Lonchura striata: one gene and its partners. The main gene of each other region encodes a partner of the protein of the gene in region 3 in a complex. Links are inferred from orthologs where the notes say so. Each region holds a gene or a part of one and is shown on either strand. Other genes may lie near its edges. The genes, in order: ARPC2, ARPC5, ACTR2 and ARPC1B.

Region 1 (7,227 bases), on a different chromosome or scaffold from region 3:
AAATTAACTCTTTTTCTCTTTTAAACTTAACAAACTTTTGTGTACTCATTTCGTGTCCAATAGCAACACATGGGGACTGTCCACAAAACCAAATTAAATTTGAAATTACCCTATTTACAGGTGGATGCTGCCAAGCCCCAAGGACCTTGTTCAGGGAGTACTCTTAGAGGTGGGTTAGGCCCTGTCTCAAGTGCTGATCTCTGTCTGCAGTCCTGCTGAGGTACCTTTCACACTGGGAAATCCAGGGACAGTTGATGGACCTCTATGCAGAACAGATCTTGACATATATGACAATAATAGCAGTTAATGAATTCCATCTTCTAAATGTGACCTTGTTCTGTATGACAAGGTGAAATGTGGAGTGTCTCCCACCTGATAGCCCAGGAAAGCTCTGCAGGAACCTGTCAAACTATGGCTGCACTGCAGTAGAAGGGAGCGACACAGCCCATGTCACAGGACAAGTATCTGGCAAAGGATCTGGAAAAGAACCCTGCCCTGCCCCATTTTCAGGCTGGTGCTGAAGCTACAAGGCACACCTGGCTCTGAGACAACCACTATTGACAAATCCTGCATTGCATCTGCTGCACTTCTGGTTTAGAGCAAATAATGTAAACCCAGCTCTGCCCCAGTGTCCAGATTCACTCCTCCCAGTCACCAAATTCTTCAAGGTTTGACCTTGCCCTGACTGTCCTGTGTTCAGCCCCAAGATACACCTTGGAAAATCATCATCAAAATAGCAAAATACAGGCAATCCCTTCCTACCTCCAGGCTGAGCACCACAGGAATAACCCCAGAGCTGTGGCCATAGGAAAAAGAAATATCACTTGAATAAATGTTTTGTAACATCTATTCCTTAGAAGACCTGAAAGCAGGAGAAACGTTCCTGCACGTGCCTGGATGGGGGAGCCCAGAACAAGCATGAAGAAAATTCAGAAGTAAATGTCTTCCTCACCATCAGCAACACACTTAAGGCACAAAACTTATCTAGAAACGCCATCTAAAGAACAGAATATGCCATAGATGACTAAAAGGCAGAAGGAGAACACCATCAGCCACCCTACTAATTGATTCGGGAACAGTCAGTATGTCAGGCACACGTGCCCACACACCAGTGAGGTGGCTTTGCCATGCAGCAAAATGGAAATGTCAGGGGCCTGCAGGCTGCTGCAGGGCAAGCAAGTGCAGCTCTGCTCAGAGAGTCAGAGTTTTGGGGTGCATCTAGACCTGCAAGCTGCCCCTCCACGTCAGATCAACACAGGGACACACACACGTTCTTCTCTCTGCATCAGGAAGAGTGGCTTGGCACAGACTAGTGATTGACACGCGGTTCTGACACTCACTGTGAACCTCTGTGCATGCCATATTTTCTAATGGATGTGGCTGCAATACCACAGAGGTCATCTGGGAGCTCTCTCTGCCCAGTGCTGTGCCTGTACTCTGGGGAAACTTGTTGCATTAAATGATCAGGGCTCAAGACAAATCAAAATCTGGGAGAAGCTCAGCAGTCCTCCAAGGCAGAGCAGCCTGCATAATTATTTTATGGAAAAAAAAAGCCCCACCAAAACAAAACACAAATCTGATCAGCAAGTCAACTGAGAGTGGAAGGAAAGCAAACTAAGTGGCCTCTGACAACGTTCTGCACATAAAAGGATGAGAGCTTCAAAAATTGCTGGAGAAAAAGTAACACAGAAAAAGGCACCTGCCCGGGAGGGTCCTTTCCTGGAGCAGCCTGAGCCCTGCCTTGTGAGGTGCCAGGGCAGGCTCCACCCCAGAGATAACACCACTGTGCTCTGCCTCTCAAGGTTTTGTCTGTGTACAAAGGTGTCTCAGGCAGCAGGCAGCAAGTGCATCCAGCCCACAGGCCACTCGGTTGCAGATAAGGACATTCATTCTTAAGGGACTTCCTTCCAAGCTAAGCTGTGTCCTCACAAGCATCTTTACAGCCCTGGTGCAACACTCACAGTAAAAAAAAACACGGGCTCCCCATGGACTGAGATGTTCCAGCTGGAGATGTGGGTGTGAACAAGACCCCCAGGCTGCTCCCCAAGGCCAGGACACCCACCAGGCTGGCACCAGCAGCCATGGCTGACCTGTGCGCCTCTATCCCTTCTGCTCAAAAAAGCTAAGAGGGAGCAAACTGAAATTTGCTCTTCACCCCAAAGCAAAAGGCTGAGGCCATGACTCCATACACAGGCTTCCTGTTCGTCGCCTCCCCCTACACATTCTGTACCAGCGCTGGCAGCACGCTGATGAAGGCCACTTTACCCTGCAAATCCACCTTCCTCCCTTTCCAACTTCCTCCTTCTCCACCCCTGTCCTCCAGTCCACCTCAGCACGGCAATCTCCGGCACCCTTCCCAGACCCGTCCTGCTCCCCCGGGGCTCCCCATTGCTCTGGCACTAGCGACCCCATCCAGCTCCACTCTCCCCTCCGACACTGCCCTGTCCCACTCTGCTCCCTCATTCCCCAGCTTTCCCTCTGCCCAAGCTCTATCCGTCCCGCAGCTCAGCTCCCGCACACTGACCACCCCCCTCCCAGCCTCTGCATCCCGCAGGCTCCCACCCCGTGCCCGCTCTGCCCTCCTCGTTCCCGGGCCGCCCCCCGGTAGCACACTGCCCGCGGGCTCAGTGCCGCTCCCCAGCCCCGCATCCTGCCTTGTCACCTTCCGCCCCGCTCAGCCCCATCCTGTCCCGGCACCACCCGCCGGGCTCTGCTCCGTGCCCGGGTGCCCGGCACGGCCCGGGCCCCGCCAGCCACCGCCCCCTCGCCCCTCCCTCTCTCCGCGGACCCGTCCCCGCCCCGCCCCGGCTCCCCTGCTCCTACCCGGCGGCCGCGCCCTCGAACTTGAGCGTGAGGGTCTCCTCGATGATGCGGTTGTTGACCTCGAGCAGGATCATGTCGGTGCCGGGAGCGGCTCTGAGGGAGCCGAGCCCGCTGCGCGCACCGGGGACCCGCCCGAGCCTGCGCCGCCGCTTCCGCTCTCGCGCCCGCGCGTCACTTCCGGCCCGGCGCCGCCGCCCCGCCCTCGCCGCGCCCACCCGCGATGACGTCACGCGCGGCGGGCGGGCAATGGGGGCGGCCCTTGAGGGCGGGGCGAGGCGATGGGGAGGCTGCTCGGGCACGGGCACCGGCACCGCCGCCAGCCGTGTGAGGCCGGGCGTGGGGCTGAGCCTGCGCTCTGGAAACCCCCCGCAATGTGAGGGTCCCCCCCTCCACACCCCGTTAATTGAATACTCACAGTGCTGGAGGTCCCCGGAACAGTGGAATGCCCTTAGGATCATAGGGACGCTCGAGGAAGTAGTAGGTGTGCCCCAGTGTATGGGGGTCTTACAGGGGAAAATGGTATCTTGTAAAATATATAATTTCAGAGCTACAGGGCCCCAAAAATGTGAGGTGGCACAGGGAGTGGGAGTATCCTAGGGGGGCTGTAAATGGTGCCCTGGATCTTGGGGTTGCCCAAAACTGAGGAGGTGTTCCCACAGAGAATAGGAGTGTCCTTGAGTCTGTGGTGATGCCCAAGGGATATGATGAAGGGATATGATGATGGCACTTACCAGGTGCCCCAAAAACGTGAGGTAGCCCTATGGCTGACAAGCATGGAAAGCTGTGAGGATGGCGGTGCTCAAGGGGTTTGTGAGTGCCCCAGAGTAATGGAGGTGCATGGGGAATGCTCTTGTGTGTAGTTCTCCCCTAAAAGCAGAAGGGATACTCGGAGCCACAGCATTCGCTAAGTCTGCAGGGCTGGCACAGTCTGGCACAGCGGCACGGCTCTGTCTGATGGCATTGATGGCATGGCTTGACTTGGCTTAGCTTGGCAAGGCACAGCCAGGGCAGGAGGGACATAGGACTCTACTCTGGGGGGGTCCCCCACAGCAACCCCCAATGGAGGGCAAGCCAGTCTTGCAGTCCCCGTGTGCATCCCCTAAATGCTGACACCACCTACCGCTCTATCAATGGGGAAACTGAGGCACAGAGCCCTGCATTGCCATCACCCACTGACCATGGCCTCAGAGAGCTCTGCTCTCCTGGGGGGACCGCAGCACACAGGGGTGCCTTGAAGGGGATCCCCTCATCCACTGGAGACCTGGGGACAAATTGGAGACCCCCAGCTGGTGACCCCCGGGGTGCATCATCACAGGAATGACAATGACCCCCTGGGTGCACCCCCAGTGCAGCGTGGCCTGGGACATCTTGGGACAGGAGGCTGACAGGGGTCTGCGGGCTTCCCTTGGACTGGGAAAGGCATCTGTGAGGACCACAGAAGGGTCCCTTTGGCTGCCACTTCCTCTTCATTCTGGGAGAAGATTTTGCAACATTTCCTCCCCGGGCAGTATAAAGTGGGTGGCGGAGGAAAGGGGTACTGGGAGGCGGCACAGCAGCAGGCACAGGTGAGGATCCTCTGGCTGGTGAGACCCCTGGGTCTGGTGCTGCCCTGCATCCCACCACACTTTGAGCCCTTTTGGGGTGACATCTGGATTTAAACTCATACTTGTGTGCTTCCCAGTGAGAAACAGCTTGGGATCAAGAGAAGACTCCACATTTGAGGGGACGGCAACAGCAGCAAGCAGTGAGTCCATGGGGTGCACCACTGGAGATTGTGGCTTTCCTTGGGCTTTGACAGCCCCACATCACTCATCTGAGCCCCTTCACATGTGGAGCAGCCTGGGAGCTGGGGTGGGTTGGTCCAGCTGCCCAAGAGGCTGCTTGGTAGAGGGAGATGGTGGGTGAGAGCAACCAAGGCTGTGCTGTGGGATCATCTGGGGTGCAATCCCTCCATAGTCCCCAGGGACATCAGCCTTGGGTGCCATTGGGAAAAATACCTGCTCCCATTTCCTTGCACAGCGATGAGCTAGGAGGATCCTTCCCCATGGCATGTCCCCACTGGGAGCCCCAGGCCCCCCACATTGTGCCCCAGCCCTGCCAGGGTCAGGAGGGGAAATGGAGTGCTGCTTGTTCCCCTCATCTGGGCCAGCTGTGGGGATCTATCTGTGTGTGTTATACCTGGGGAATACCCATTTCCAGAGGAACCACCAGAATTTTGGAGTGGGGAAGCAGAAAGCAGCAGCCAGAAATAGATGGAGGGGAAGCACTTGCATCAGGCTCTGCCCCATGCCTGGGGAGCTCCACTTGGGAGGACATTCCCCCATCAGCACTGGCAGCATGCCTGGTTGCATTTCTCCGGGATGCTGATGTTTCCATATCCCAGCATCACCACCCTGGGGTCACCATCCCAGGATTTCCATCCCTGGATCACTGCAAGAGAGGATACAGCAGAGCCAGGGAGAGAGTGGCACCAGCCCAGCTGCGGCAGGGGATTCAAATCAGGCAAAGGGAAAAGTTGGTTCTAGGAATGGTTTGTGTTCAAACAGGGCCAGTTTGGAGGTGGGTAGCAGCACCCCAAGCAGTCCTGGCATCTCCAAGCCCTGGAGGGGTTGCGGGCTCAGAAATGGGACCAAGGGGTGAAACTGGAGTGGAACAAGAGTCCAGATCCATTCTGGGAGAAGACTGAAAGCCTGTGGTCTTTGGGGAGGCAGGACCAGAGCAAGCTCACCGTCTCCTATGTGTGAGGAGACAGGAAAAGCAACTGCCACCTGTGATTTCCCCATTTTGGCCAAGCACGGGGGTACACAGCAGTGCCCAGCTGAGCAACAGGAAAACCAGAGATGTAACATTTCCAAAGCTGCCTGCAAAGTGTGACATGTCTTTCCGCCTGGGGTGTGAAACCACTCCCGCAGGAGCAAGACCAGGAGGTGAAAGAAGGACACAAAAACACCTTCAGACCTTCTTGAGTGCTGCCTGCCCCAGCCACCATGACCACAGCCTTGCTGCTGGCTGACATGGCAGGAGGGGCAGCTCCGTTCCAGGCATCACAGCAGCAATGCTTGAGGGGGTGGAGAGGCTGGAGGGATACAGGGATACTTGAAGAACTTTGGAGGTGTGTGAGGGGCTCTGACATGCCCAAAGAGCTTAGAGGCTTTTGAAGGAAGCAGGATAGCCCAGGGTTTCTGGAGGAGCCAGATGTCTCCTGGAGGGATGTGATGCTACATTGATGGAGAAGCCCCCAAACTCTGAAGAGGTGATCAGTCTATGGGGGAACCTTTTCTTCCACAAGAGTCAGGAAATGGACAGGACTGGGGTGAAATGCAGGAGAATGAGGCATGCAGGGGGTGTTTTACAAGGGGGTATATGAGGAACAGTGTCTACCTGCATACTGACCATTACCTGGCACAGTGTGGAATGCTGTGTCCTCCATCACAGTGATGAAGGACAGCTGCCCACTGGCTGGGAGAGTACCTGGGGGCCAACAGAAATGCCAGAGGATCCAGAGATACTGTCACCCCTGGTCCACAGCACTACCACCCCATGCTCATGCCATTTTGTGCTCCACAGGCAAAATGGAGCCCTTGTCCTACAGTGGAGATTTCTCCAACCTCTTCTTCTTTTACAACTACACCTATGACTACAGCACAGCCATGCCTGACACTGCTATCTCATCCTCTCCGTGCCGGCCTGAAAACTCTGCCCTCAACAAGTACCTGGTGGTGGTGATCTACTGCCTCGTCTTCATCCTCAGTGTGGTGGGGAATGGGCTGGTGGTGCTGGTGGTGACCTCCACCCACACCAGCCGCTCCGTCACCGACGTCTACCTGCTCAACCTGGCCGTGGCAGACCTGCTCTTTGCTTTGACCCTGCCGCTTTGGGCAGCCTACCGAGCCCACGAGTGGGTCTTTGGCACTGTGATGTGCAAAGCCATCTCTGTGCTGCAGGAAGCCAACTTCTACAGCGGCATCCTTCTGCTGGCCTGCATTAGTGTGGACCGCTACCTGGCCATTGTCTATGCCACACGGGCTGCCACTGAGAAGAGGCACTGGGTGAAGTTTGTCTGCTTGGGCATCTGGGTCTTCTCCATACTGCTCTCCCTGCCCGTGCTGCTCTTCCGTGAGGCTTTCCGCTCTCCCAACAATGGCACCGTGTGCTATGAGCGCATCAGTGGCGAGGACACGGCCAAGTGGCGGGTAGTGCTGCGGATCCTGCCGCAGACATTCGGCTTTGCCTTGCCCCTCCTGGTGATGCTCTTCTGTTATGGTGTCACCATCCATACCCTCCTGCAGACCAAAAATGCTCAGAAGCAGCGGGCCATGAAGGTCATCTTTGCTGTGGTGCTGGTCTTCCTCATCTGCTGGCTGCCCTACAACATCACCCTAGTGAGCGACACCCTCATGAGGA
Region 2 (7,502 bases), on a different chromosome or scaffold from region 3:
CTTGAGTCTCACCAGCCAGGAAGGGAGTTTTGGCCAGGCTCAGGGCCTGGGCACTGTGGCAGGAGCTGTCCCCATGCACGCACCTTCTCGTGCCACTGCAGCAGCACAGCACTGCTGTTGTCAGAGGGGCTCTCAAAGCCCTTGTAGATGTATTTCATGAGCAGGTCCACCCCGTTCTTGTCCAGAGACTGCACCGCCTTCTCAATGTCGTTGGCTTTGAAGGAGATGAGCACCTTCAGCACGATGCTCTCAGCACGATCCTGTCAACAGGCAGGCACAGACACAACCATCCTGGTGAGAGGCACAGCCAAACTGCATTTTTTTCTTTAACACCTCTGAAGAGGACAGTGTGTGAAGAGCTTGTCATAGAAAGATTAATAGACACATCCTCTCAAGGATAAACAAGGTAAAAGAGTTTAACACATTCGCCCTCCTTTAGTTTTTATGCCTCTGTGAGTGTTTGCAATTCTCCGCCCCTTAATTATAGCTAAATAGTAAATGTTCATTTGGAAGCTCAAGATGTATCAAGTTCCAAAATAATTATAACAATCAAGTGCTTATCTGGCCCCTCTTCCCACTAGAGCCTTTTCCATACCTCTGTACTGTTTAACGTGACACAACCATTATGATCCAGGGAAATGCCATTGGAAGAGGTGACTGCTGGAAGCCACGTGCTTTCCAAGCAGTCCCAGGCACACTGGATGCAGACTGGCCATTAATATTAAGAATTAATAACGTTTGATCTGGATGTCATTTCAGGCCTGGGAATGTGTGAGGTGAGCTTACAGCAGCAATTAGCCATGCAATCAGCAAGGAGCAGCTCCTCCTGTTCATCCATCACTAACTGAGGCAGGATGAGAGAAAAATGTCTCGGGGTTGCTGGACGTTTGAATAATTCCATCGTACAAACATGTCAGGCACCTTCCCCCTACAGAAACTGTGGATGTCACTTTTCCTGCCCAATTTAATAATACTCCATAATCACTTGCTTTAGCAAGACTTCTCACATGACTGTAAGTAAAATTATTTAAGTTCCAAAGATAACCAAAAATTAATACAGGTATTAATGTTCAGTCATTCTACCCTCTTCAATTCCACCACCAAATGTATTCTTAAATCCTTCAATAGAGGGCTAATGGAAACAAGTCATTAATGTGAGGACAAAGCTATACAGCTCTATTTGTAACAGCTGGTTCTCAGAGCTCTGTAAAACCCTTCAGGAAAGGGCTGGGGCTGCAGGAACAGCTCTGCCAGGAACCATGGAGCAGGGAGCCATGCCCCTGGGCCTCTCCTTGGGCACGGAGAAGTAACTGCAGGCACTCACCAGCTGGGCACTGCCATATCTTATCAGCCTGTTCCTCCTACCACTGCAATCATGAGCTATTCAGGATCCATCCTGGGGATGTTCAGAAATGCACATACCCAGCAGACTCCCACACTATCACAGGGGGAGGACTTGCTTTTCCTGAGGTTTAACAGCTTCATTTTGATTGGATGTGACAAAAAACAATTCTTCCTTTTTTGTAGGCTCACTGCTGGTGGTTTCATTAGTCAGAGGTGACAACTGCAACCCTGGCTCCCTGAGCACACAAGGATTACATCTGTGAGCTGCCATGTGTGGTCTGAGGCAGACACAGGCACATGATGACACCTGGGCACACAAAACACAAACAGCACTGGCAGGAGAACCACACCTGATCCAGCACCAAGGTAAAGGTACGTGGACAGTACTGTACCTGAGCTACAGTATTTTGAACAAGATTAAAACACTTGTGGTCATGGATGTTTCACCCTAAATTCTGCTCCTCTTGCCTCCTCAAGGTACAACTAGTGGCACAGAAGTAACAGAGACAGGAAAGGATTTTTAGGGAGTAACCCATGAGCGAGCAGTTGCTATTTTACCTTCACTGCCTGGTTCTTTGTGTTGATGGGAGGGTTCTTCAGAGCTGCCTGCAGTGCAGCCATCATGTTCCCTGTGCCAGATGGTTAAGGACCAGACACCAAATACACGGACATCAAGTACCAGGACAGCTATATTTGTAGCTGGCTTGTGCATGACTGAAAACACTCTGATGCAGGGATTCCCTCACCAGCTAAGAAGACATTACAGCCTAAGACAGCAATTTTCAGGCCATTTGAGGCAGGAGCAGCATCAACAAGCAGCTGTATAGTTCCGGGACTGCTGAATACTTCCTAGGCCATTCCCTGAATGAGTAATAGAAACCATTCTCCATCACTTCTGCAATCTGTAGCCCCCGAGAACAGATCTCAGCTTGTCACATCCAGCCCCAGCAGCCACTGGGACAGCAGCCCAGGGAAAAGTGACCAAGGGCCAGCTGGGCGAGGCAGCCCTGGCAGCGGGCACGGGAACTCTTTGGGCACAGGAACGCCCTGTCTGCATCCCCGGGACACCGCCCTGAGCGCGGCCCCGGGGCACTGCGGCTGCTGCGGGCAGGGGAGGAAGCTGGGCCGCCTTCCTGCTGCTAGCCCCTTCCCCTGCCAGCCCCTTCCCCTTCAGCCCCTTCCCCTTCAGCCTCTTCCCCTTCAGCCTCTTCCCCTTCAGCCTCTTCCCCTTCAGCCTCTTCCCCTTCAGCCTCTTCCTGCTGCCAGACTCTTCCTGCTGTCAGCCCCTTCCCCCTTCAGCATCCTCCCTTGTCCTTCCATCCCCTTCCCCGCCTGTCCCTTCCCCTCCAGTCCGCTCCCCTCCATCCCCATCCCCTCCAGCCCTCTCCGCCCATCTCTCCCTGCCCACCGGTGCCGCTCACGCTGTTCCCCTACAAGGCCGCCCCGGCGGCGGCCGCGCCCGCTCCGCCCCCGCCGCTCCCCTCAGGATATTGTCGCAGGCACGAGTCCACCTCGCCCTCATCAGGCCCCGCTTGCCCGTCGCCGCCGTCCTCCTCATCCACGAACTTGTTCTCGTCGTACTCGTCCACGTCCACCCGGCGGAACCGCGCCGAGGACACCGTGTGCTTCGCCATGGCCGCGCCCGCCCCGCGCAGCCGCGGCCGGCCCGGCCCGCCCCGCCCGGCGGCGCCGGCGCAGCGAGCGCGGCCCCGGCCGGGGAGCCGGGGGGACCCGAGGGCGCGGCCCGCCCAGCCTGCTCCGGCTCCCACCACCTTGGCCTTGGATACTTGAGGCAGCCACGGCTTCTTTGGCACTCTGTGCCAGGGCCTCACTCGCGGGGAACAGCTTCTTCCCAATAGCCAGGCTAAACTTATTCTCCTTCAGTTTGAAGTTTCACAGGTTCACAGAGTATTCCGAGTTGGAAAAGACCCCCAAGCATCACTGAATCCAGTTCTTAAGTAAATGGCCCATACCGGAGTTGAAGCCACAACCTTGATGTTACTGTCACCGTGCTCTGACTGACTCTGAAGCCATTCCTGCTTGTTCTGTCACTCCAGACCCTTGTAAATAGTGTATCCTCGGGATTCCCAACAGCTCCTCCAGGTACTGCAAGGTCACAGTGAGGTCACCCCAAAGCTGCTCCAGGCTGCACAATCCCATCTCTCCCATCCTTTCCTCCCTCCCTGTGACCATGCTGTGCCTCCCCTGGGCTCTTCCAGCAGCTCCAGCTCCTCCTGTGCTGGGGCAGCTCTGCAGGTGGGGTCTCAGCTGAGCACGGGGCACAGGGGCAGAATCCCCCTCCCCTGCTGCCCACGCTGGGGCTCAGCCCAGGGCAGGGGGTTCAGGGCTGGGGCAGCTCCAGCTCTCACCCTCAGCACCCCCAAATCCTCCCAGGGCTGCTCCATCTGCTTGCCCCCTCCCCGGACTGATCCTGGGAGTTGCCCCGACCCAGGTGCAGCAGCAGCACTTGGCCTTGTTAAATTCCATGAGATTCCCACGAGCCTCTTCCCAAGCTTGTCTGGGTCCCTCTGTCCACCCCAGGACAGCGCCAGGCTGGGCAGGACCCGTGTAGCTTCAAGTGAGGTGGGAGCTGCCCTGCTTGGATTGCTCAGGGAGCTCCTACTCCAACAGCACCTAGTGACCTTGAGAGTTAAAAAATAGCCACAGCCTGTAATTTTTTAAAGTTACACTTAGCCTCTGTAGATAATAATTACCCTATTATTAATTAGGAAATGACACAGCTTTGTGAGGTTCCTCTTAAGAGAAAACAACAGCCCTGGAAGAAAAAATACACACACACACACACACACACACACACATATAGATACACATATTACACCCACCACTAACCCCTGTAATTTATTCCTGTATCAGCCCTACCTGCAGGACCACCCACCTCCTTGATAGAGGAGGAATTTAGGATATGTCCCATGTTCCCCAAAGTTGCCTCAGCTTGGGAAGCTGCAGTCCAGTTGGAACTGTGGCTGTAGCTTGGGACTGCTGGCATTTTTCTGCTGGAAATTGGCTTAAGGGCAGCAAAGTAATTGCAGGAGGTAAATAGACTGTCAGAGAGTCACAGCATGGTTTGTGTTGGAAGGGACCTTAAAGGTCATGTAGTTCCAACTGCCTGCCATGGGCAGGGAGTACTGAGGTTCAGGGTTTACTGCCCTGGCTTAAGAGGTTGAGGATTAAAACCAAAGTATGTTCATAATCCATTATTTAAGACCCACAGTTATTCCATGGATTAAATTTGGCTGGAGGGGACTTTATTGGTGTTTTTTGCCATCTGTGATCTCAGTTTCACACCAAAAAGTGGGTGGATCTCTGCCATCCTCAGAGCAGGCGTGTGCCACAGGGAAACGCTTCCGAATGAGGACTTCCACTGAATTATTCCTTTGGCATTTTTGAATGCCTTACTATATTTCTGCATCTTGGCTATAAGCTGTTCCTTCTGAGAGGGCAGAAATGCACCTGGGAAAAGCCCTCCTTGTCTTGGAGACATCAGAGGAAGCAGAATGTCTTCCAAGGCTGGGAAAGGCTGTTGGGAGGCTGGGTGACAGAGGAAAAGGCTTTTAAATTCTGCTGTCCAGCTGAGTTCCCCTGCTTTCCTTGGGGAAAAGCTGTCCTAAAAGATGTTTTAATTCCTGTTAAGTTAATTTGATGTCAGTTTTGTGTACCTGCTGGCAGAGCTGGGTGACGAGGGGCTGCCCCCATGATGGCACACACAAAGTGTGTTATACATAAGAAATAGTGGACAGTCTCTTCAAATAGCTGCTGAAACTTGTAGCAGCATATGGAAACTTGGTTGATGACACAGAGAACAAAACTCTTGGAGCCTGGAGGCATTATTCACAAAACAGACTTTTTGCTAAAAATAAAGAGTAAAATTTTCCCTTATACCCTATAGAGGAAAAACTGTACAATAGAAACAGCCACACTTTTTAGAATTGTTACAGGTGATTCCATGATTCAATCTGGCAAAAAAAACAAAAACATGCAAAAAGAACTTAAAAAGGTGTCATTACCAGGTCCAGCTCAGGGTAATAGCAAATATTTATCTGATTTCCTTCAGTGGCTTTTAAAGTTTCCACTTTAGGGCTGTTACAATCTTTGCAAATTCTGTGGTGCAGAAGAAGGTTCCTCCCTGGTCTGGGCAGTTCCATGCAGCAGGATCTTTCCCAGTGCAAAGGCTTGGCCCTGTTTGAGATGGTGGCAGCAGGCAGGTTCTTTTAGATGTTTCCAGGTGCCAGTTTCTGGGAGATGGGAAGGCAAACAGAATTTGCCTTTGTGGGGCCAGGCATCTGTGGGAGTTGAATGTCTGTTCTGTGCCTGTCAATATTATTTTTTAATTTCTCAAGTGATACTATAGCCCTCTTTTATTAGTGAAGTTTTGCTACAATATTGTTATAGCTGAAATCTGGGTGTTCTAAGGAATGTCCAACTGAGATTCTTTCTAAATGATTTGTGTGTTTATCTAGTGTGCCAGCTGGACAGAAGACTCCTGTTGTACTTCTGCACCAAGGTTTTCCCTTTCTTCGGAAGTTTGTGTTCCCGTCCCTGAGGCTTTAATTCCAGGAAGCAGTGGGTCATTCTGTGAGTAAGCTCAGTCATGCTTTGTACCAGGGTGCCAGAGGAGGGAAAACACAAATTTTGTGTGGGTGAACAGCTATTGGCTCAAGCAGGAAATTATTTGTCTTCACTGCTGCTCTCATTGCCCCTCATCATTCTTGGATCTTCATAATTCTTTTGCTGCTCCACTGTAAAACATAGCCATCTGCACATTTTATCACAGCTCACTTTTGCATACCACCGTTTTGCCCTCTGTATTTAACTTTTTCCTTAAATTCATAATTTTTAAAATTTGCTTTGCTTTCCACTCTGACTCTATAGTAACTTCTGTGTATTGTCCTCATATATTTTCATGTATGTATGTGCTGTAGTTCCTTCCTGATCCAGACCACTGTGCTGTTCTCATTCAGATTTCTCCTAAAGATTGGCTTCCTGACATGAGGAGTGGTCCATTTGTCGTTTCTGGTGTTTCTGCACATTTTGGATGGTCAGCCGTGCTCTGTTGTGTGCAGTGCAATGTCACCCTGGCAGTGCCGTGCCCCGGGAAATAGAAAATGCCGTTGCTCCCTGGCATAAAGGAGGGCAGGTGCGGAGAAAGGAGTGTTTTCCTTTGCAGAGGGGTGTCAGGAGAGGGTGTCACCCCCGCCACTTCTCCTGCAGGCTGCCAGTGCTAAAGACAACTGAGAAAGCTGCGAGTGTGGGATAAGGTTCCCATTCCTGCTGTCCCTGCTGGTGTTCCTGCAGAGTTGGGATGGCCGCATGATGGCAATGTCGCACCTCAGGGATGCGTGTTGTTTTTCGGATGGAGCCGTTTGCTTCTCCAGCTCTGTTTAAGTGTTTCTAGAGCTTTTCAACCAGAGGCACCGGACATTTTACATCTCCCCCCGAAACCTGCCTCTTTATCTTTGGTTGGTGCTTCGTCCTGGTCAAAACCCGTCAAATTTTCAATCTCCTCAATCAACAGTATCACATCCTTACAGGATGGGAGTCAAATCCCAAACTACCTCTTTGGATGGGTTAATTGGAAGAGTGTTCCCACAACCAAAGTGCATTTCTGGACGTGCAGCATTAGCATCAGCCTTTGGCTCCTTTGCCAATGCTGTTCCTCTCCATGAGCCACCATTCTGATACAGGAGATGGTGTCTGTTGGATCCCTAGGAGCTCAAAATGAGTGTTAACAGATCCATATTTATCTCTCTCTATCTATCCAATTATACTTAAAATTATAGTTCTATCTCTGCCCCTCCCAACTATATTTGGAGGGGACTGGGATATAATTATAACTTTTAGAAATTATTTAACTTTTTGCTAAAATGCCTGTCTGGGGCAGAGGGCAGGAATGACTGATTAGTGCCCCATGACATGGCACAAATGTTCACAGGAGGAACTGGAGAGGAATGTTTTATCCAGTGAAAACCACAGGGAGAAGAGTCCCTAATGACTCTGTCTGGAAGTGAGCCAGGATCCAAGACATATGTTCTGCACCTAGGGAAAAACACCCTAATGATCAGGGCTGGGATTTTCTTTTTCTTTATTCAAATATTAGGTAAATTCTGGTATCTCTCCAGGCTAAAAAGCATGCAGAAATT
Region 3 (7,600 bases):
ACAGATCTATACAATAACAGACTTTGGACTCTCTTAGATTTTTTGAAGCGGTACAGGAAATATAAGATACAGGAAATCCTTCAAAATCTTCAAGTAAATGAACAGCAGTAATCTGGAACAGATTCTCTTTTCTAAGGCCCAACATGAAACACTCACTGCTCTGCCACTCTCAGTTTGAAACACTCTAATTCAAGTTCAGTGCACTTGTTTCTCTTCCACCTCTTGCCAAGCACACCCCTCACAGCAATTATTGAATTACAATGCTCATGTTTCCAAAAAGAACACAAGCACTCCATGAATTCACCTATTTCTGCAAGAACTTCATCATCATTTGTTTTTGCACACATTTGCTATACATTCAGAATGTTCTAAGAACAGCTATTTAGCCTGCCTGTGTGCAAGACCATGTATGTAATTTTTACCATATATAGTTTCTTCCCCATTTCACTGTGGTTTATACGGAGTCTTTCACTTCCTACTGAGTCATCAAACACCAAGAACTTGCATGTATAAGTGTTCTTTCAAACTAAAAGAATGAGGAAGCTTGCAAACGGGTCACGTGACTGGTTTTAAAATGAATAATAATACTCTTATCAGATCTCCCTGCTTGATCCTTTCCACTGATGCAACACTCAAACAAAAACCCTAAACACAGTTACAACAATTGTACAGGCCAGTGAGTAACTTTCTGCTTGGCCTCTAACAATAAGAGCATCCACCTCTAACGCTGCAGACCTTTGAGGTGCCATTGCCTGCCTCCCACACTATGTGTTGCAAGAACTTCCTTCGAGCCACTCACCTCTTCCTCAAAGACTGGCTGCAGCCTGATGCATCAGGAGTCCTACTGCAGCCTAACAAGAACAGCAAATTGCAAAGACGAGCCTAACGTTAAAAATTCACCCGTTTTTCCAAAGATATTCTCCATTTTTTACCTATAAGTTTTCCGACACATGGAGAGCGATTTCATTTCAATCATGCTTTTAAGTGTGAGATATCAGAAATAATGCTAAACATTTCTTGTCACATAGGCAAAATATTATTATCAAAATAGTGGCTTGACAATACAGAACTACTTGATACCTCGACATGCAATTGAGACTCAAAAATTTTACTGAATGGAATTTTTGTGCAGATTAGTTATCCCAATCCTTGTCCAATTATCCCAAATCAATCTGAACATTTTGAGTTGACTCATTTAACAATTAAAACACTCTTTCACTCTACTCTCCCACCCAAGGAGTTCTGTGGCTTCCAGGCACACATTGTTCTGCCCAAAAACCCAGCACAACCCAAAACCACACAGGCTGAAATGACACAGGCTCCTCTTGCACCATAAAGACACCTTCCACTCCTGTGGTTATTTATATCCTGCTGGTCCAACTCATCGAGGGAAAAACTGTATGGATCCAAGATGTGTCTGGAATTAACAGCATGCACAGATACCCCAGGCTGTAAAGAAATGTGTGTGGCACACCCAGCTTGGGAAATCTGGTTGGAAAAATTGCTTTTACCCTCTGTGTCACACCTGAGACCAGCCAAGGCACAACACTGCTGTCACCAGCAATACACTCAACATTTTACAACTCAGTGATTATTGCCATATAAAGGACCACACCAATGGATGAAGCTCTGAATTTTTTGTTTTGGTTTTTTTTTTTTTTTTTTTTTACTCTGGGCCTCGCAATAGGAAGATTAAAGAAAAAAGAACAATAAAAGAAGTCAAACAAACAAACAAACCGTAAAGCAGCTTCCATATCCTTTTGTAACAAGAAAATGCTATCTCCTTTTCTTTCCTTTCTCTAAATTATAGTGTAAAAAGTGCCCAAAGGCTCTGAATTCTAACCCTATCAAAGATAGCTTTTGCTATATGAGGGTTAATGAAGACATCATCACTGTCAAACCCCGAAACTGTCAAATATGATGTTCTTCTTCCTGAACCATTCTAACAATTTCAGATGCTAACTGAAAAACCCCCTAATTTAGGATGCTGAATCTGTAATAAAATAATCCTTTGTCTCAAATATTCTTTACTAGGCTTATTAAAAAAAGAAAAAAAAGTCTTTTTTGCAAGTGTTCATATAAAAAAAAAACCCTTGTTTTTTTTTGCCATTCAAGAGATCTTAATGCACCACCAATCGAGGTAACTCTGCACATAATATTGCTTTACTGGGGGAAACCTAGACTGCTAAAAGAAATTACCGAGGGGAAATAACCACCGATAGCATCTGATCTCCTCCTGCTTTAAAATGGTATCTTTTTCACTTCCTGCCAAGGTGCTTCACAGCCTGACAAAAGGATGGATTTTCCAGCGGTGCCTGCACGCTTATGGAGGCCAGGAAAGGTGGAAAGGATGGGGAGAAAACCTTTCATTTAGAAAATGCCGATTATGGGAGGTACGCGGCAGATCGGAGAGGCACGGAGGAAAGGATGATGCTCTTAAAAAAAAAAATAAATAAAATAAAATAAAATAACCAAACACATTTCCCTCAAGTAATAATCCTGCAGACACAGGACGCATCCTGACTGCCCAACGCATAATGCGCTGATTCAGAATTTTTAAAAATCGCCGTTTTTGTCTGAAGGCGCGCTGCTGAGGGGACCGGCCCAGGTCACGCAGGGGAATCGGGACCGCCGAGGGCCGGGGCCGGGCACCGCAGGGCCCGGGGAGCACGGGCACACCGGGCCGAGGGCCCATCGCCCATTCATTCCGCGGGGACGGCGGCCGGGCCGGGCGGGCGGTGCCGGCAGGAAGCCGGGCCGGCTCCGGTGGGGGAGCGCCACCCGCCTTCCCCTTCCCCTTCCCCTCCGCCCCGGCGGCAGGGCGGCTCCCGGCGCCGCCCGCGCGCACTCACCCCGGTGCCGTTGTCGCACACCACCACCTTCCTGCCCAGCGTGTCCATCGCCGCCCACACCGCCGAACGCGGCTCCGCACCGGCAGCCCCGACACGACACCGAGCGCGACAGCGGCACCGCCCCGAGCTCCGCCGGGCCCCCCGCGCGCCGCCCGCCCGCCGGAAGCCGTCAGCGCGCGCCGCCCGCCCCGCCCGCCGCCCGCTCCGCCCCCGTTGCCGGGGCGGCGGCGGCGGCAGCGGGGCACGGGCGGTGCGGCGGCCCGGAACCGAGCCCCCGAGTCACCCCGAGCCCCCCGAGCCACCCCGAGCCCCCCGAGCCCCCCGAGCCCCCCCAGCCTGCCGGCTCGCCTCCCTGCGCCCGCCTCCCACCCGTGCGGAGGTGGGGGTCGCCTGAGGGGCCGCCCGCCTTCCCCCCTCACGCCGCCCTGCCTGCTCTGCCTGCCCGCGCGGGGCGAAATCAGCCCCGAAAAGCTTCTGTTTGCCGGGGATGCTGTGTCCATTCGGCATCTCCCGAGCTTCTGCTCCTCCCACAGGCCTTGCCCAGGTTCGCCCGGCGAACAGTTTGCATTTGTGTGATGGGTTCTGAGTGAAGGAAAAGATAAAGTGTGATCTGGCTCCTCTCTGGCAGCTCCATATTTGTAAAGGATAAGCGTGACCTCCTGCATTGTCTCTGGCAGCCTCAATATTTGTTTATTGTGTTGCCCCAAATTCCACAAGAAGTCAGGAGCAACCCCAGGTTTTTCCCTCCATGCCACGAACTGTGTCGGTCCCCTATGAACAGCAGCCTGTTCCAATTGGGTATTAGATGCCAATATTTGTTTATTTTGTTGCCCCAAATTCCACAAGAAGTCAGGAGCAACCCCAGGTTTTTCCCTCCATGCCATGAGCTGTGTCGGTCCCCTATGAACAGCAGCCTGTTCCAATTGGGTATTAGATGCCAATATTTGTTTATTGTGTTGCCCCAAATTCCACTGACTTCCACAAGAAGTCAGGAGCAAACCCCAGGTTTTTCCATCTGTGCCATGAGCTGTGTCGGTCCCCTATGAACAGCAGCCTGTTCCAATTGGGTATTAGATGCCAATATTTGTTTATTGTGTTGCCCCAAATTCCACTGACTTCCACAAGAAGTCAGGAGCAAACCCCAGGTTTTTCCATCTGTGCCATGAGCTGTGTCGGTCCCCTATGAACAGCAGCCTGTTCCAATTGGGTATTAGATGCCAATATTTGTTTATTGTGTTGCCCCAAATTCCACTGACTTCCACAAGAAGTCAGGAGCAAACTCCAGGTTTTTCCCTCCATGCCACGAACTGTGTCGGTCCCCTATAAACAGCAGCCTGTTCCAATTGGGTATTAGATGCCAATATTTGTTTATTGTGTTGCCCCAAATTCCACTGACTTCCACAAGAAGTCAGGAGCAAACCCCAGGTTTTTCCATCTGTGCCATGAGCTGTGTCGGTCCCCTATGAACAGCAGCCTGTTCCAATTGGGTATTAGATGCCAATATTTGTTTATTGTGTTGCCCCAAATTCCACTGACTTCCACAAGAAGTCAGGAGCAAACTCCAGTTTTTTCCATCCATGCCATGAGCTGTGTCGGTCCCCTATGAACAGCAGCCTGTTCCAATTGGGTATCACACAATATAACCTCTGGTATAGTTAAGAGAGTTACATGTTGTGTGGAAAATCACGCTGTGAAAGGCCAGTGTCTGCAAAGGAGACAGAGGAGCCCTGCAAAAATCAACTTTATTCGAATCAAGGTAGAGAGCCATGCCCCTGTGGAGTTTCAACTTTCCCCGGGTACAGCCTTCCCAAACTGTCCCCTACACATTCCCCCCTGAACGTGTGTCCCTCCCTCATTGTGCACTGCATGACCATTAAAATTAAAATTAACCATTAGCCCACCCCGGGAGGAGAAATTAATACTCATAAGTCTATTAGCTCTCTGCATTTTCCCCCAAAGTTCAGAAGTTCAGGCTGTGCTTTGCTCTGCAACAAATGCAGGGCTTGATGTAGGTAAAGACCCCCACGCCCATTCTTCCAGAGCCTTGCAGGTCCTTTCAGATCAAATCTTTTGTAAAGACTTTAAACCCATTTCTTCTATCACATATGAATAGATACACATGTTTATGGTTGTCATTTTTTTTCTACCTTTAATTTTACAGAACAGTGAGAACAATGAGAAATTTTATAAATACCAGAATATAGGCCATAATATTTGACTTTTTTAAACTTTAATCACATCCAGATATTGAGGATGAGGAAACAAATACCTTGTAGGACGAAGAGGCTGTGGGAACAAACAGGGACTGATCCAGTGGCATGCAGCTGTGATGGAAGGACATCCTGGTCACTCTGCACAGCTTTACCTGGGTACAATTGCTTTCTAATATACATAAGATTAATGATCTCATTTTAATCTGCTTTTCAGAGCATGGCACAATTTACATTGCTCCTTGAAGCCAGATGTGTAAAGCAATTGCCTTAAAAGCCTGCTCTTTGTCCAGAAAAATGAATTAATCTGTATGTTTTAAACCCCTCAGCTTGTTGAACCTAGCATAGAGGGCTCACTGGGGGAACTACACCGTTTCCTACTCTGCTGATGGACTTGCTGAGTAATTCTGACCAGCCTGTGCCTCAGACCCACGAAGCTGGATTTGGTACCATGCCACCTCATACTAATGCTCGTGTATAAAGCATCTGCAATCTCTCAGTGAGAAATGTTTCATTTTGGGTTCAAATTATTTGTCAGACAGAATGTTTCAGCTGTGCCTTCTCATGCACAGTGGTGGCAACATTTACTCTGCTCCAAGGCAAGCTATGTTTTAATGTGGCAGCAATGAAGCAAAAAAGAAGCAAACTTTCTTCCTAACTTTCCTGAGATTAGATATTCAGTAGATCCTTAAATATAACATTCAACCCCTTTTTAATAATGTTTTGTAGCTTTTATCAGAAGAGCATTTTCCTGCCAGGAATTTAGGCTATCAGTTAAAGAAAACTATGACAAAGGGTTAGTTTGATAATTGCCATCAGAATTTAAAGTATAATCAAAGTCTCAATAAATAGTGATATTGAAGTCTAGCAAATAGAAACGGTTAATTTGCTGTTTATAGCCCAGCATGAAGATTTAATATGAAAGGGATACAGGTCTGTACCAGAAGTACCAGAACTTATATCCTTCATGATACAGTCAATAAATTCACCACTGTTCTTACTACCAACTGTTGTTGCTGTTAGCTGCTGGATAGCTGTCAAAGATTTTTGCATTTTTTTAAATGTCATGTACAATGCAGGAGAGGAAATATAATGTGGTTTGAACAGACATCTCTTTTAAAACTTTATTTTACTGATTTAGCTGGACTGAGATATTACTTCTTGTTTTAAAGATTTTTTTTTTTTTTTTAAAGCAGTGTCAGTAGGAAGAAAAGCCATGGAGAGAACTAACCACAGTTTCCTAAGAGCCCTAAGCTGTGACTTCTGTGAGTGAGCAAGATGTCATGATAGAGGATAATAAAAGTATGATGACTAAGCAGAGTGCCGAAGCTTATCAGAGAAAGTACTACCTCTCTCTTATAATGAGTTTGATAGACCTTTATGAACTTGCCAATTAAGTGCTCTGTGCTTAACCTAATAGTGCAGGCATACAAAGAGAGGCAGGAAATACCCAGAATTAAAAGGGAAAATGAGTTATTGCAACAGCTGTCCTATAGCTCTGCTGGGTATAGAAGAGAAAGGAGGGTATAGTGATATCTTGCTTGCAGCAAAGCAAACAGTGTGTTCCTCAGCCCCACCTCCACTCCCCACAGAGCCAGGGCTCTCCCAGTATATGGAATTTGGACCTGGAAACTCTGGCTGGCTGGAGAAACTGAGGCCAGTTCATTCCTATGCTGATGAGGCTGGTTCCAGTGCTGTATTGCCAGGGCAGGAGAAAGACATTCTACCTGAAAACCAGCATTAACCTTTTCAATAATCTGTTTGGTGCTTATTGAGCCATTTTACCTTTGTCTTGGATTTATTTCATTACTTTACCAAAATAGAAGGCTAGAAATATTCACAGAAAGTGTCCCCTGACTAAACACTGATCGTTTTCTGGATTTATCAAACTGTGGATGTAACAAGTTAAAAACAGTCTGGATACTTCTGAATAGATCATGGTTTAAAGGGCAGAAAAGCCCTCAGCAGACACACCTTCAAAACCGTGACTACCTCATTAGCATTAAGGGACTCTGACCTTCAGCAGATCCTCAATATCTCACTTTCCTGCTTACCAAAGCCAACCAGGCTCAGGTGCCAGAGGCAGTGTGGCCGTGGGGGCCAAAGCAGGATCATTTTCCTGCTAAGAAAAGACAATTTGGTTGTCAAACTGCACCAGCCCAGGAGTGCTGAGCAGGCCTGGATTTCTGTGAAGGACAAAAGGGTCTGGATTCTCCTCCCTATAAGCACCACCCATTCTGAGTCATCTGAGCTGGAAGTACTGGCATAATTGCAAAACATCTTCACACAGATGGTATGATCCGGTGTAGCTTACATGAGGATTCTTGAGTGCGCTATTTGGCTGTCATTAAAATACTATGAGGAGAGGTTTTTATTGTTGGGTATTTTTCACAAACATTTCTTCACAGGTCAGAGAAAATGCTGTTTTTTTTAACATCACAAGGGTGTGGAGTATGAACTTTTATTTTTGTTGGCTCATTTCCAGATAAACATAAGAACACATTGTAAAGGTCACTTTGTGTTTTAAATTCAACAAAA
Region 4 (6,936 bases), on a different chromosome or scaffold from region 3:
AGCCCAGAGCCATCCCTTCCCTAGGGTGTGGTCCCATGGGGCTGGTGGGATGAGACAGGACAGGATGGGCTAGGATGGGATGGAACAGGACGGCTGGGGGTGCACAGCTCCCAAACCCAGCCCCATCCTGCCTGCCCGGCGCTCGGGCCGCAGCAGAGAAAGCCCTTTTTGTTCTCCGCATCCCCCGGGCCGCGCTCGGGAAATGCCATCGCCCCTGAATCACCCGGCCCCGCTCCCTCCCTCCCTCCCCTGCCGGTGCCTCGGGGCTGGACGCTGTGCCAGGCTCTGTCCCGGCACCGGGGGGACACAGGGGGATGTGCTGTCCCAGCCCCCAAATCTGCCAGATTTGCTTCCCAAATCCAGCCCCAAGCCAGCTCTGCCCCGCCCCGGAGCATCGCCCGCCTCGGGGGTGTTGAGCCAGGACAGTGCCCGGGGATGTCCTCGGGAATTGCGGGGTGCCCCGGGCGTACTCACGGGTGCGGTCCTTGTTCCAGGCATGGCAGCTGATGGGCTCCAGCAGGAAGCTGTGGTAGGCCATGGCTCACGGGCTGGGGACAGGGAGAGACCCCCAGAATGTCAGGACACAGGGACAAGACCCCAGCCCCACAGAATGATCCTTCCCACTGGCATCAGTCCTGTGCTGCAGCCCACCATGTCTCTCCTCCGCCGGGGAGAGGGTTCTCCTGAGGATTTCCAAGCTCAGAAACTGTCCATTTCCAGGATTTTCTAAACCAAACTGGCTGGAACTTGCTGGGCAGGAGCTGGCTGGGCACACAGGGACCCTGGTGCCAGCAGCCCCCTGTGCACCCCTGGGGTCTCACCAGGGGCAGCACCTCCTCTCCCCACCCCAACAGGGCCAGATCCACCCCCTCCTTCCACACCTCTCATTTAGGAAGAGCCAAAGCCCCATGGAGGCCCTTCCATCCCATCAGTGCTCAGCCCTCAGGACCGATCCCTTCTCCTGGCTGAGCTCCCACCATTCCTGCCGGTCCCCAGCTGCCATGGGATGGAGCAGTTTGCCAAAAAAACCCCTCCAAGTGCCACGGCAGCGGGAAGGGCTGGGAGCAGCGTCACAGCCCCTCGGCCATCCGGCCCGGGGAGCGCAGGGATGTAGGGAAACACCTCGCCAGGGCGCGGCTGATGACGGGAATTACTCACAGCCTGCTCTCGGCTATTTTGGGAACTCCTTGAACACGTCCCGTTTTCTTTGGCAACTAAAAACGTTACAGGGGAAAGGAAAAAAGTCCCTCTTAGCAAAGCTCCATCCCTGGGCTGGGGAAACGAAAATCTGCAGAGCTCCATCAGCTGCCTTCTGCATGTGGAGAAATTCCAGTGCTGTCACACAGCCCCTGGCCAAGGACGTGGGCAGGGATGAGGAGGCAGCTGCCGATCCCCCTGGGATGCAGCCCGGGGTGTCCCAAGGAGGGCACAAAGCTGCTGCCACCACGGGCCTCGCCCCCGAGCCCTGCGGATGGAGCAGCACCACGAGGGACGGACAAAACCATCAGCGACATTGCAGGAGATCAGGAGAGGAAAAAGGGATTTGGCCGAAATGGCTCAAAGGGCTCCCTACAGGAGGGATGGGAGGCAGGACCGAGGTGCGTTCTGGCTTCGACACGAAGAAAACAGCAATGCTTTTTCTTTTTCCAGGTGGTTTGGGAGCTCAGAGGCATAAACTCTCCTCCCTGGGGTCCCTGCTGCTCCCTTCTGAGTGCCACCCCGAAGGGACGAGCTCAGCCGCCGTGCCAGGACGGAAGTTTTTGCCAGACACAAAAGGAGCAGTGGGTGGTGTTTTGTTTCCCCCACGGCCCCTTAGAGCCAGTTCCCCATGGGTTCCCCATGGCTGAGTCCTGCCCCCGCCCTGCAGTGACCCTCGGGGGCTCGGCAGCCTCTTCCCCAGCCGGGAAGAGCATCCAGGAGCTGTGGTTACATCCCTCTCCCACCCCCCTCCCCAACCCAGGGGCTCTTGAGGGAGGAAAATGGGAATTTTCCGAAGGCCAGACAGGGCGGGACTGGGAGCTGGAACAGCTCCGTTATCTCCCCGGCCAGTCCAAGCAGCTCGGAAACATCCTGGGAGGAGATAACCAAACCTTGGCAGAGCCGAGAGACTGCCGGGGGCTCCTCCCAGTCCCGGGAGGAAGCCGCACACCGGAGGAGCTGGGGTTTGGGTTTTTACGAGCCTGGCGGGGTGGTGGGAGGAGGGTTCGCACCCAGTGAGGATCCCGCTGGGAGCTGGGACCCCCTGAAACTCTCCCCGGACGCTGTGGTGGAGCCCTGCACCACCAAGACCCCAACACCGACCCCCGGGAGCCGCTCTGCTCCCTGCGGCAGCCGAAGGTGTCACCGCCCGGCTCCTGCCAGCCAGGCTGGGGACTCCCATCCCCAGAGCCCCGTGCTGGTGCCCCGGGAGCCAGCCTGGCCTGAGGGGACACCCCGAGCCAGGGCAGGCGGAGGGCGGCTCTGACCCTCCTCTTCCTCGCACGGGCAAAGCGGGAAGCAGCTGATGCCGAGGAGGGGAGGACAGATTGCGGCAGCTCAGTCTCTGCCGGCACCAACCCCGAGGGGACCCCCACAGGACGACTCTTTCCACCCCCTCAGAGCTGTCAGACCTCCGGCAAGAGAAAAAAAAAAAAAAAAAAAAAAAAAAAAAAAAAAAAAAAAAAAAAAAAAAACCCAACCCAAAAAAAACAACCCTGAAACTTGCTGACAAAGCTGGGAGAAAAGCCCAAAACACCCAAAACGCGGCGACAGCGAAACTCGCAGGGGGCAAGGGGCTGCCTGCACCCCCTGACCCCAGCCCGGGGGGACCCCCCGAACCCTCGGGCGGGCTGTGAGCGCCAGGAGCGGTGACAGCCACAGCCCCACGGGACAGCGGCGGCAGAGCCCGTCCTTACCTTGCCGGGCAGGGCGGGCTGGGCTCCGTTCCTGGCCGGCGGGGCTCGTTCATGGACTCTGGGCAGTCGACACGAACGGAGCCCGGAGCGAGCGGCGGGAGCTGTGCCTGCCCCGCCGAGGCAGCCCGACTTCCCTTTTCCTCTCCGAGAAATGCAACCACTTCCTTACGTGGGCGTTGGGGGAGCGCCGAGCCGCCCAGCCCCTGTGCCTGCGGGCCGGGCCGCTCGGCACCGCCGCACCGGGACGCGCCCCGGCCCCGCGATGCTCCCGGTGCGACGTGGGCAGCTCGCCCGGGTGCTCCAGGGAAGGACACAGCCAGGAGAACAGAAGGGAAGGGTCCCCGCCGTCTCCCTGTGCCAGCGGGTGTTGTTCACCCCCGAGGGATGGGGACTCCCCGATGCTTGCGCTGGCCCCCACCGGGGAGCAGCCGAGCTTGGAGCCCACCCGGGGAGAGACGCTGGTCGGCATCGCCTCCCACGGCCGGGGAGATCCGCAGGAGCCCGCGGAGCCCGATCTGGCCGCCCTCGGCAGCAGCTGCTGCTGGTTCCTGCATCTCACAGAGCCCAGTGGGACCCAGTGCCAGGCTGGCCGCGGTCACCATGCCTGTGTCCCCACGCAGCAGACATCCAGCCCTCTGGTTTTATCACCTCCTGCTTCAGAGCAGCTAGTTTTTATCCCATTCCCGCCTGGATGCACTCAGGCCTTCCCTCCTGGGCATAGGGATGCACTCACTCATCCCCTTTCCCTCTGCTACGCCCCAGGTTCTCTGACTGCAAGAAATGAAACACTTGCTATTTTATGTTTAGAAGGGAGAGGAAATTGTAAAGCCAAGCCCGACTGCCAGGGGAGAAGGTGGGAGACATAAGGAAACCAGAGAAGGATCCAGTTCTGTGATGGAGAACAGTGGCTGCCACTCAGAGCTGACCTTGCACAGCAACAGAGCTGAGAAACGAGCAGGGTATGAAGCAACTTTGGTTCCAGAGGAAGTGGTAAATTTAGTCATTGGGGTTTTTTAAAGACACTTCTGCATTTTCGGCAGAATTGACAGTTTTAAGCTTTGTAAAGCAATGCCATGAGCCAGCTAATCCCCTCAGAGCACAGCAAGGCAGCAGCACCGGGAGGAATACACCCTGTGAATAAAGCTGTGTCCAAATGCCTCCGTGAGCTCCTGAGGCTCCAAGCTGAACTGCAAAAGGTACCTGGGGACAAAGGATCAGCACAGAAGCCAGACCACACCAACACCTCTGGTTGCAGCTTCATTTGCCCACTAGTTGTCATAAATACAGGATTTTATGGGTTGAGAGCTCAGCTCTAACAGGTCACAGAATCCCAGAACCACTGAGGGTAGGAAAAACTTCCAAGTTCAGTAAGTCCAACCTGTGACCAATCTCCACCTTGCCAACCAGCTCAGAGCATCGAGTGCTACATCCAGTCATTCCTTGAACACCTCCAGGGATGGTGATTCCCCAGCCTTGAAGTTTCACAGACTTACCAAGAGATTTGCTTTTAATTTGTCTTCCCCAGACGAGGCTCAGCAGATATTTGTCTCACTTTCCACACAGAGCTTTCCATATTGTCCCACAGGCACTGCCCTGGGAGCAGGCTGGAGACCAATCCCAAAGGCAACCACAGATAATTCTGGTCACTCACCTTTGGAAAAATGTCACTCGCTAAGCAGACAACAAAAAAGACATTCAGATTAATTTGCTGTTGCTATGGATTAAATGCAAGGCAGAGAGAATGAAGAGAAGTAGGATAAAATCATTCATTCTCCAAAATTGTCACCTCAAGGGAAGAATTCTCCTGGAAGAAGCTCATCTGAATCTTCACATCCAGATCACCAGAACTCCAGGTCTGTCAACTTTAGAACCTTTCAGTTCAGATGAACTTCTGCTTTAAGGCCATAAAATATCAGTGCAGGGTTTTCCCCACTCTGTCTCTCTCCCAATTCCCTTAACATCCCTTTTTTAATCAACAAACTTCAAAACAAAGAATCAGTTTTTCTCTTTTTTATTATTATTATTTCTAGCAGACAATTTACATAAAATTCCCCTTTTAAGTTAGTGATTCATAACTTCCTGCAATAAACTACTTAAGGAGCAGCTTTGGTAAAGAATGGAATGAAACAACCAACCAAAAAAAAAAAAAAAAAAAAAGAACAATCACAGCTGATTTTGAAACCAACACAATTCACCAAATTTAGATTCAAAAGAAAAACTGCCAAGCTGTATTTTCTCAGTGTTTCCAAATATTTCACCTTCCTCCTCCCTTTTCAGGTTTGTGCAGATGTGGGAGCTGCATTCTGTCAAGCAGTTTGTCCTGCTAGATCATGGAAATCCATCTTTACATGATTCGTAGCCCTTGGATGGAGGACTCTAAAGTCTTGAAGGAGAGAAAAAAAATCTTAATTACAATCTGCTGTTGTAGCTTGGGCTAAATTAATTCAGTGTAAATGCTAAAAAAAACAAGCAAAAAACATGAATATTTGAAATTAGATTCAGTCATAGAATCCGAGAATGGTTTGGGATCAAAGCTCATCTCATTCAAGCCCCTGCCATGGCAGGGACGCCTTCCACATTCCCAGGTTGCTCCAAGCCCTGTCCAGCCTTGTCTTGGATACTTCCAGGGATCCAGGGGCAGCCACAGTTTCTCTGGGTAACCTGTGCCAGGGCCTCACCACTCTCACAGGGAAGAATTTCTCCTTTAAGTAAAGGATTTCTTCCTAATGCAAGAGGCCAGAGACCACAACAGTTGTTCCTTTCAAACTCAGGCAGGTACCAGCGACACAGACCCAAAACTGCACTAAAGCAGCCTAGAGATCACTTCAACTTCTTGTATGACTCCTGTCCCCACCAGAGCATCCTGGCACCATAGAACACAATCTGTTCTTTCCCTAAATCACATCCCACATCCCAGATCTGGGAAGGCCAACAGGGACCTCTGTTGGCCAGGCCTGAGTAAAGCAAGCATGGGCATTAATACATCCTTTAAGGATTTTCAATATTGCATTTTCCAGCTGTTAGAGACAACTTCTTACTCCTTGGGTAAGTCAGTTCTGAGAGGACAGGACCATGTTCTGCAGCAGGACAATGAGCAGAGTCCCATGGGATGGGAGAAGGGAGAGGCAGGGGGCTGTGTTGTACAAATTGCTCCAGCTCAGTTGTGGCTGAGGCTGGAAAATGAAAGAATTAAGGGGATTCCTACAGGGACATTAAGTAATTCTATTAAAAAAATAAGTCTGTATTAGCACCATCTGCTTAACAAACTGCATCTGCATTTCTGCAGATTCTTGGATCAGTTTTTCTTATGGATTTCACTAATGGTTTTGAATATTCCAGTCTGGATTTCCTGCTGCTACTAAAACCTGGCTTGAGGCTGAGCCCCAGGAGTTGATACTAGAGATTAAAAAAAAAAAATCCACCACCCCAGCTAGTTCACATAAACATGGTAGTAAAAGCACATTTTTACCTTAAAATCCCAGATGGTCATTGCTCCATCGATGCCGGTGGTGCAGAATTTCCGACAATCCCGTTTGTCAATCTCATAAATAGACACTTGGCTGCAAACACAGAGTGAGAGCTCCAACACCCATTCCAGAGAGCCAGAAATCTGGGAAATTTGGGTTGAATTCCACTCCTACTCTTTGGCTGGAGACATGACTATACCAGAGCCTATACCAGATTCTTGGTAGAATGCCTCAGAAAAATAAGCCAAGAAAAAGATGCTGAAAGCTCTTTAATGGCTTGGTGAGACAAAACGTTTTCCTTGAATAAAGAGAAATTGCTCCACATCCCTGCAGATCACATAATTTTTTTAATGCAAAGATATTTTACCCAATTAACCTGAATGAATCTTTTTGATTAACAGAATTGTTGAATGGTCTGGGGTGGAAGGGACCTTAAAACTCATCCAGTCCCACTCCCTACTGTGGGCAGGGACACTTTCCACTGTCCCAGGTTTCTCCAACCTGGCCTCAAAAGCTTCCATGGATGGGACAGCCACAGCTTCTCTGGGCAGCCTGTGCCAAGGGCCTCCCCACCC

The links.
Region 1: ACTR2 (region 3) and ARPC2 share a complex: the UniProt entries of both Homo sapiens proteins name them as parts of the arp2/3 complex. The link is inferred for Lonchura striata from reciprocal best matches to the Homo sapiens genes ACTR2 and ARPC2.
Region 2: ACTR2 (region 3) and ARPC5 share a complex: the UniProt entries of both Homo sapiens proteins name them as parts of the arp2/3 complex. The link is inferred for Lonchura striata from reciprocal best matches to the Homo sapiens genes ACTR2 and ARPC5.
Region 4: ACTR2 (region 3) and ARPC1B share a complex: the UniProt entries of both Homo sapiens proteins name them as parts of the arp2/3 complex. The link is inferred for Lonchura striata from reciprocal best matches to the Homo sapiens genes ACTR2 and ARPC1B.

What each region holds. Positions count from the first base shown.
Region 1 is NC_134610.1:15,528,727-15,535,953, reverse strand, and holds the start of ARPC2 (actin-related protein 2/3 complex subunit 2), read right to left. Parts: upstream 3,018-7,227; 5' UTR 2,898-3,017; coding exon 2,824-2,897; intron 1-2,823. Other genes in the region: C-X-C chemokine receptor type 2, read left to right, coding at 6,396-7,227. UniProt on the Homo sapiens protein: Actin-binding component of the Arp2/3 complex, a multiprotein complex that mediates actin polymerization upon stimulation by nucleation-promoting factor (NPF).
Region 2 is NC_134611.1:27,704,142-27,711,643, forward strand, and holds the start of ARPC5 (actin-related protein 2/3 complex subunit 5), read right to left. Parts: upstream 3,017-7,502; 5' UTR 2,979-3,016; coding exon 2,835-2,978; intron 1,975-2,834; coding exon 1,903-1,974; intron 261-1,902; coding exon 84-260; intron 1-83. UniProt on the Homo sapiens protein: Component of the Arp2/3 complex, a multiprotein complex that mediates actin polymerization upon stimulation by nucleation-promoting factor (NPF).
Region 3 is NC_134605.1:1,568,897-1,576,496, reverse strand, and holds the start of ACTR2 (actin-related protein 2), read right to left. Parts: upstream 3,016-7,600; 5' UTR 2,901-3,015; coding exon 2,853-2,900; intron 1-2,852. UniProt on the Homo sapiens protein: ATP-binding component of the Arp2/3 complex, a multiprotein complex that mediates actin polymerization upon stimulation by nucleation-promoting factor (NPF).
Region 4 is NC_134618.1:14,900,279-14,907,214, reverse strand, and holds the start of ARPC1B (actin-related protein 2/3 complex subunit 1B), read right to left. Parts: upstream 3,017-6,936; 5' UTR 2,895-3,016; intron 1,196-2,894; exon of another isoform or gene 1,159-1,195; intron 549-1,158; 5' UTR 539-548; coding exon 475-538; intron 1-474. Other genes in the region: ARPC1A (actin-related protein 2/3 complex subunit 1A), read right to left, coding at 5,239-5,277, 6,364-6,454. UniProt on the Homo sapiens protein: Component of the Arp2/3 complex, a multiprotein complex that mediates actin polymerization upon stimulation by nucleation-promoting factor (NPF).